Linked DNA regions of Nothobranchius furzeri. The protein of the gene in region 2 purifies or fractionates together with the protein of the main gene of each other region. This does not show direct contact. Links are inferred from orthologs where the notes say so. Each region holds a gene or a part of one and is shown on either strand. Other genes may lie near its edges. The genes, in order: exoc8 and exoc7.

Evidence for each region.
Region 1: the proteins of exoc7 (region 2) and exoc8 purify together in Homo sapiens (affinity purification with mass spectrometry; 4 studies listed by BioGRID and IntAct, counting the BioPlex papers as one, with this or other methods). This does not show direct contact. The link is inferred for Nothobranchius furzeri from reciprocal best matches to the Homo sapiens genes EXOC7 and EXOC8.

Annotation. Positions count from the first base shown.
Region 1 is NC_091742.1:10,762,364-10,766,627, reverse strand, and holds the start of exoc8 (exocyst complex component 8), read right to left. Parts: upstream 2,920-4,264; 5' UTR 2,771-2,919; coding exon 1,621-2,770; intron 1,458-1,620; coding exon 1,204-1,457; intron 1,061-1,203; coding exon 812-1,060; intron 697-811; coding exon 292-696; 3' UTR 1-291. Other genes in the region: DNA-dependent metalloprotease SPRTN, read left to right, coding at 3,597-3,928. UniProt on the Homo sapiens protein: Component of the exocyst complex involved in the docking of exocytic vesicles with fusion sites on the plasma membrane.
Region 2 is NC_091756.1:53,832,431-53,836,744, reverse strand, and holds the start of exoc7 (exocyst complex component 7), read left to right. Parts: upstream 1-1,510; 5' UTR 1,511-1,646; coding exon 1,647-1,706; intron 1,707-1,866; coding exon 1,867-1,932; intron 1,933-2,569; coding exon 2,570-2,754; intron 2,755-2,850; coding exon 2,851-2,956; intron 2,957-4,314. UniProt on the Homo sapiens protein: Component of the exocyst complex involved in the docking of exocytic vesicles with fusion sites on the plasma membrane.

The DNA.
Region 1 (4,264 bases), on a different chromosome or scaffold from region 2:
TCATTGGACTGAAGCGTTTTGTATGATGGATTATTAACCCGAAGAACTGAGAACTAAACAAGCTGCAGCAGGAAAATTTAACTTTAAATAAAACGTCCGACTGTGTCATCACTGACTCTTTCATTTTACCATCATTTCCTTCCTGCAGCATCTAAACACCCAGTAGTTAGTGTTGTGGATCGGGTCTGAGGGGGGAGGTGAAATGACAGGGAGGGAAGGGGGGAGTGGCCACCGGCCGCCGTTTCAGTCTCACGCGGTTTGTTAAACGAGCCGTCGAAGCTCCTGTCGGCCTCAGACTAAGGATGTGGTGCTCTCTGGGTTGATCCGCACCGGCCTCGTGCTCTTCCTCAGGTCCCGCAGCTGTTTGGCCGGTTTCCCCACACCCTCCTCAAACCGCCGCTCCACCACTGGCAGCACGGTGTCGTGGAGGAAGGTGGCGTTCTGCAGGACGAAAGCCTTCTTCTCGGGGTCCTGCTCACAGCGCAGGCTGTAGTCGACGTGCTGCACGGCCACCAGGATGATCTCCCTCAGGCTCTCCAGCAGCACCATGTGCAGCTCGGGGAAGTAGAGCTTCAGACCCTCTTCCAGGAAGCTCATCATCTGCTTGGTGAAGGCCACGATGGTGTAGCTCAAGTTCACCCAGCAGTCATCGCCCGTGTACTGCTGGAAACTAATCCCACAGCTACGCATCTCATCCTGCAAGACGAAGAGAAAAGCCTTAGATGCTGCTCAACACCCGCATTTTCTTTAGTTTTCTTCTTCAAACAAAAGAAACAAACACAAAATTGGGAATTAAGGAAGGCTGTTCGACCTTGAGCTTAGTTAAAGCCTCAGGGGTCATCAAGTTCATCCTCCTCCACATCTCCTCAGAGTTCCGGTGTTTTGTGGCCTCAATGATGATGTTCTTGTAGCTCAGCAGGGCTGCCTTGACGTCTTTGACCAGCAGCGACTGCAGCGTGAACGTCTGATCCAGGCCGATCTCCGTCAGCTGCTGACAGTGCTCCTTGGCCACTTTAACGCACTCTGCTGCTGTCGACAGGCTCTCCTTGCTGTCAAACACCTGGAAAACAGAAAATTGGCCGTTTTGAATCATTTTCTGAAATAATTGGAACAATAATTGATCTTGATTTTTTTTTTATCAAGAATAATGATCGAAACATATTTCTTGACTCATGTTAGGGACATCGCTGAGCCTCTGCTGACCTGTTTGCTAAACGCGTCCACAAACATCGTCATGGCCGATCTGGACCAGACCACAAAGGCAGAGTAGCAGCCCGTGTTCCCCGCAAAGTCCGTCTCAAACTCCTTGGCAGTTTCCAGCAGGCTGGTGAAGAAAATGTTGCAGAGTTTGTGGATGTAGAGCAGCGTGGCTCCTTCGATGCGGAGCTGCCGGATGGCCGTCTGGACAGCCGCGGCGCGGTTCTTCAGGAACAGCTCGCAAGCCTTGGTGGACTGACCTGAAACACAGAAATGACATCATCAACTGTTGGAAATATAACTTTAAATTGTTACAGGCATGGATTCTCCAAGGACTACTCTGGCTTTGTGTTGAAATGTTTACTGGTTTTGGGAAATCAACATTTTAATGGTCTGTGAGATCTTATTAATACAAATAAAGACCTAATCTGATGAGCTGGGACACGGCCCGCCGGGTCGCTTTAGGTCCACCACGAAGCGACCGATCAGGAGACAGCTCAAACACCAAGACCTCAGTCAGCTGCCGCACACGCTCATCCACCTTCGCCTTCAGCTCTTTCACCGTCTGGGTCGCAGGCTGGTCTTTGAGATACTCGTTCAGCTTGTCCAGCAGGTCCACTGCACCCTCAAAGTCTCTCTGAGCGATGCACACATCCAGGTCCTCGGGCAGCTCCTGGATCCACTCGAGACTGAGGTCCACACTCTCCTCGGCATCTGCCGGCTCGTCGTCATCCACATCAAAAGGGTTGTTGGACACTTCGGCTCGCACGGGAGAGGTGGGGACCTCCTCCTCTTTCTTGTGTTTGTCCTGGGAGGCTTTCTTTTTCTTGGTTTCATCCAGGATCTCCAGCCACTCCTTCTTGACTTTGCTGTTTTCCACCTGGAAGATGCGGCTGTCTGGGAACATGAGAATCTTGAACATGTCCTTCATGGGAGGGTTGTCCTTTACGTTGACCACAGCAAAGCTCTCCAGATCATACAGGGCATTGTATTTATACTTCACTGTGCCTCTGCGGTTAGGCAGCCAGGTGGCAATCAACAGGCAGTCATTCATCAGGAAAGCATGAGCCTTCTGGATGGGGGACATGTTGTCCACATCAAACTCCACGAGGTCTCCATTGTAGACCAGGTGTCTCCCTGGGGTGTCCATGATGTTTTTAGCTCCTTCCACCTTCTCCAGCAGTGAGGTGAGAGTCCTCTGCTTCAGGTCCTCTGTCTCTTTGGGGAACGCTGCCTGCATCTCTTTGGAGGTCTCGTCCTTGTCTGTGGACAGTAAGGCCTGAGTGATGCTCTCCATGATGCTCTTCTGCTCGGTGAGGATGTGGCTCAGCTGGTACATCTCGCTCTCCAGGAAGGAGATCTCCTTGGCCGTTTCGATGAACTGTCTGTAGTTCTTGTACACGTTCTTCTTGAGGTTTTGGGCCGTTTCATCAGCCAGAGTTTGAATTTTCTGACGATGCTCCTGAAGGTCTCTGTCGCCATCCGACTGCTGTGACAGCTGCTTGACGTAGTTCTGTGGATCGAAGTTGGGCGATTCCAGCAGCTTCCGAAGTCGGTTCCCGGTTTCCGACATCTTTGGTTGTCTGCGTGTTTCCTTATTAAGCAAAACTGTTAACAAACTGACGAGAAACGCAAACAGAGAACGAGCGCCTTCATATCCACGTCAACAAACACAGGAAGCTGAAAACAGGTCAACACCCCAAAAGGATCTGGCTTCTCCAACACCCGGGTTGTCAACGTCACATGAACGTCACGAGAAGGGAGAACAAAAAGGATGATCAACAAAAACTCAGAACAAAATTGTTATTGATCTTTCAGGTAAACCAAACAATGTTTTATTTTTATTTTAAAGCTTCTGTTTATTTATTTACTCATTTTGCTTTTTGTGTGTTGTTATTTTGCAGTTGTTACTGATTACTGGGCTATTGAACAACACCCGGAATAGGTGTTTTGTTGTCCAACTATTTACCTACCGGAAGTTTACGGTAGCTGCAGAAACATTACAGATTTTCAACAGCGTTTAAACAAGCTAATTTTAGTCATCTGCTGATTAAAATAAGATACAAAACTAAGCGGGGAAAGCCAAATCAAACACGAAATTAAGTTTGAAGTAGTTTTTTATTTAGAAGTTCATACGGAAAGAGACTCGTTGTAATGTAGTACATGTAGCAAACCTGCTGTTTGGCGCGAGCTGTGGACAGACCGACTATTATTACAGATACCTTTGGCTGACAAGAAGATGAGATTCATCTTTCAAAGTCATGACTTCAGTCCTTTTACCGATGTTTCTCTGAAAGGTTGATTTTATAATTAGGCTGCAGACGTCGTTTGTTCCAGAACTTCGTGCTATTTACATTAGCAAGTCAGCTAACAAGCTAGCACAGCTGCCTTCTGATGTCATGGATGCGGATTTCCTGCTTGCCATTAAATTACAGGAGCAGTTCGATAATGAGTACGAGACGTCATTAACCTCATCAAATAGATTCGAGGATAATTACTTCGAACAAAGCAGTAAGAGACGGAAAGTGGAAGCAGCCGGAGGTGGCAGCGCTGCTGTCCCCTCCTGGAAGCCGGGTCACGAGCCTGAGAAACCCCTGAGCATCGTGGATGAGTCCTGGGAGATGCTGGACCCAAACCCAGATGTGAGGGCCATGTTTCTGGAGTTTAATAGCCTGTTCTTCTGGGGGAAACTGAGCGGAGTCGAGGTGAAGTGGAGCCCCAGAATGACACTGTAAGTTTTGTTTGTTCACCAGATTTCCTACAGCAGGGATGTTTATAAACACTGTTGGCTTTACTGGGATTCAAATATGGTAGCCACAAAGCGCGAGATGCTTGGAAAAACATCATTATTGAAGAAAAATAAGGTAAAAGATTAAACAAATGGGTACCACTAAATATCTGACACAAAGTATGTCAAACATAATTTCTAAAAAAGCAAAAAATGTCCAGTTTCATGAAGCTCTATTATGGTTTCCTTGTGCTTCTATGCAATGTTAAGGCCTTCTCTATTGTATAAAATGTGTCCTGTTTCTTGTTTTGATGTCCTCCACTCCAGCGCTGTGTTACA
Region 2 (4,314 bases):
ATTTAAAGTTTTTTCTTTTCACTTTCTTTGTAAAGGTAGAGGTTTGGCTGCTTTTTTTCAGTAACTGAAACTGATTAATAAATCTGTACTCATACAGGCATGAATCATTCAAATGACTAGTTTGTGCTGGAGCCTCATGAATCTATCTTCAGTTTGTTTTCATTTCCTAGAACTAGTTTATGTAATTGTAAAATGTTAATCAGAGCGTTTGTATGAATACATTTTGCATCCATAACAGTGTGTTCAGATTTGTAAATATGTATACAAACTATGAGAACCAACTTCTTGTCTGCAAATACATTTGTAATTTTTGCGAATGGTGTGTTTTTCTTATTAACCCATCAAAACAATCCTATTAGTCATGTTAAACACACCTGTGACCAGTGTAAATCCAAATGATCTCCCCTGGAGGGAGTCAATTTCCCTCAGCTTGTAATGCTGTAGTTAGCTGGGGTAAGCACTCCACAACTATAGTGTTTATAAAAAAAACTTTTATTGTGTTAAGATGAAGGAAAGGCATGTTTGGGTGAGTTTCGTTCTTGCTGACCCCTAAATGTCATTCAGGACTATTCAATTCTGCTTCTGGATTGCTGGTATCCAGCATGTTTTAGTTTGAACTGCTGCAGCACACCTGATTTCAATCAGCAGGTGATTAGCAGGCTTCTGCATAGCCTGATGAACTGCTGCACAGGTGATGCAATCTCTGAATCAAGTGTGTTGGAGCAGAGAAATTACTAAAACATGCTGGATACCGGCCCTCCAGACCCGGAATTGAATATCCCAGCTATAGGTTTTTATTTGGAAATTTTACAGGAGTAGCAAATAAGATAATGTAATGTTATGAATGTAGTTCTCGGTTGTTTTTCTACTCTTCCACTTTCATAATAATATACCAAAAAGAATAAAAACAAACACAATTTAATTGAAATAAATAGGCTAATATTTAGAATCAAAGTGAAGTTCCGTTATTACTCCACTGGAGGTCGACAACTCGTTCACTGCAGTTTCATTAAAACGGTTATACTTTTATTTGCTGGACTCGCTCTAAATGATTTGCTGTTAATAATTAGTGTAAAGACATGTTTCCTAATTCAAGTATCGTGGTTTAAATTCAATTCAGATACCGGAAAAGACTAACACGCCTCACCGGATACTTTCTAAACATGCCTTCAAAATAAACTCAAACATTTATGATGTTTACAAGTAAACAAATTAAACTACAAACAAATTGCGAAACCTTAACACCATTAAACATACTCAAATTTCTAATGTTCAGTTTTACATTTAATAGCTCAAGGCTTTAAAAATATCGGATGAAAGCTAAGTGCTCCCCTGCCGAAACCTTTCTATGTAGTGTACCCCGGAGTTTTATCTGATATAAATAGACACAGATATTTAGATCTAGAGTCAATATTTGATGTCAAATGCTCAGTAAAATGCATTTTCCGATCTGATCTCCAAGTGTTGATTTATTCTGAAATGACAGCCGGAAGTTACGGCTGTTGGGGCTGTCCAACCTAGTTTGTGATTGCTACCTTTAGCTTTTAGGAACTGTGGCTTTTGCTAGTTTTTTTTAATGACCTAAACAGGTCTGTAATCGCTCATTCCTCCTTGGAGACAGCCCTTTGACGGGAACTAACTTCAGGATGATTCCTACTGAGGACGCGTCCGCCAGGAAGCGGGAGATTGAGGAGAAACTGAAGCAGGTCAGACTCCGATGGACAGGAAGGGGCTTTATTCTGCCCAATTCGGTGCTTAAAACGAACAATAACAGAGTCCAGACACCAGCTGAGAGCAAACTCTGATCGTTCTTAGTGTTTTCAGACTGTTTGTGGTGAGCTGTTGATTTTCTGTGGGATGTTACAGGAGCAGGAGACGCTGTCATTCATCCGAGAGAACCTGGAGAAGAGCGATCAGCTGACCAAAGGCATGGTAAGAAAACAACACAACATCCGGGTCACCTAACGAACAAACGTTTCAAAAGTTACCAATAAAAAATTATAAGGTCAAAGGTCAGTCTAGGTTTCAAGGGACACGTTTCGTTTAATATACAGTTATTAAAGCGACCAATCAAATAAAATCCCGTTTAAAAATTAAAGCAGAAAACATAAAAAAAGATAAACATTTAAGATTGAAAGTTGAAAATAGTGACTTTACATGTGTCTGAAATGTTTCAATGGATGTTGTTTATTTGAAACTGCTATTTAATCGTAAATTGTTAGTTTTTTGTCTGTTGAAACCTTTTTATTATTTTGTATTTTATTTATCTGAAGCCCACTTTGACTAAACTAAGACAATTGTTTCCGTTCATGTGGGACACTGCTAAGAGTTTATTATATATTATATATAAGTATTTATGGTTGTAATCTAAACTCGATTTCTAATTTTATTATACATGAATCTATGACTTTTTTTTTCAATAAAAGCACAAACTATCTGTTAGGTTCCAATGATTTAAAGGGATTTTGTTCTAAACACAAGTTTTCTTTTGTCTGAACCGAACTAGAAGCCCTATATTTATATTCTCAGTGTTTTGAACCTTTTGTTATTTTCTTTCTCATCCTGAAAGGTTTCCATCCTGTCATCGTTTGAGAGCCGCCTAATGCAGCTGGAGAACTCCATCATCCCGGTCCACAAGCAGACAGAGAACCTGCAGCGACTGCAGGACAATGTGGACAAAACTCTTTCCTGCATGGATCACGTCATTAGTTATTACCACGTGGCCAAAGACACTGACAGGATCATTCGAGAGGGGTGAGGACTGTCTCTGGAAACATTAAATGGTTCTGCTACTGGTATTGAGTCATAACGTGTGTGTGCGTGTGCGTGCGTGCGCTTGTTGTGTCTCAGACCTGCAGGCAGACTGGACGAGTATCTCGCTTGTATCGCAAAGATCCAGAAAGCTGTGGAATACTTTCAGGACAACCACCCTGACAGCCCTGAGCTCAACACAGTGGTACGATCTCATCCTGAATCTGTTTGTCCTGCTACTAGGACACATTTGACTGAATCCTCTCATTGGTGCTAAAATAATTTATTCTGGTGGTGGAAAAAAACAGCCGAAAGTCCAAATCAAAAATAGAGTATGACCTTCAGAACTCCTGAGAAACTGTTGATCAAGATAACTTTAAAGGGAACATAACTTTTTTTCTTAAATTATAACAGTTCTTTGGTTGATACCAAATATGTTTATGAAGTTTTTTTGCACCAAATCCCTCTTACGTTAAGTGATTTCAGTAGTTTTATTCTTGACAGTTTTAGTATCTTCCAGAGTGAGCCATTACGTTGCTTTAGGAAAACAAGCTGTAATTGGCCACGCCCACCCATCCCACTCACTCAGGCTGCTATTAGCTGAGAAGCTTCGATATCCAGGAAAGGATCAGAGTAACCCCTACTGCTCAATGGAAGCATCAGCACTGCAGAAGAGCAGCAGAGCGTCACTGCTTCAAATAAAACCCATTCAAATCTATGGGGGTGATTCAAACCAGCCGCGACTCGGCCATTTTCAGATGCATCTCAGAAGTGGCACACCGCACCGCTAAAGATGGGATCGTGTTCTATTTTTGCCGCGAGCCGCTTCCGGGATGCAACAATTAATGTAGTGCTAGACAGGAAATCACACACGATTTCAGTGTAAAACCCCAGTAATTTTCAAAATAAATGTATATTGCAGCGATGCGACTTCACATTTATGTAGATTACATCAATACAAGCGACCCAGCGGCTTATTTACTCCCTGCATCATTCCAGAAGTGCAGCTGTGTGTTTTTTATGGCTTTTGTCCTGGCAGTTGAGAGGAACAACATCATATATGTCAACAAACGTGATTTCCTTCTTTTTGGTTTAATGGCGGACGACATAAACTTGAGGGATTTTGTGATCTCGCGAGTTAAGCAAGGAGGATGGTGGAAGTCTCGAGGGATTTTGTGATTCCGCTGGTTGAGCGAGGAGCACAGCAGAGAAGCCGCTTTGCAGCTGATACTCTCCCGGTATGCTCTGGAGTGCAGCAGTTGTTGCAAGTAAGTCTTTCTGCTGCTGCTCCGTGCCACAGATGCTTCCAGTGTGCAGTAGGGGTAAGCCACTGGTCCTGCAGCAGCAGTTCTCTCTTGCACATGAGGGGTAGTTCTAATCTACTTTCCCTGTTTGTGACATCACAATTGGGGGATTTTTGAAACAGCTTTTTTTAGGCACTTCATTTTTTAAACCAAACGCTGACAGAAAAGAGATGGATGGATTTTTCATGTTTAGAGTGTTCATTTACAGTTCAGTTCATTTTTATTTCAAAGATTTCACACATGTATCATTACAAAATAT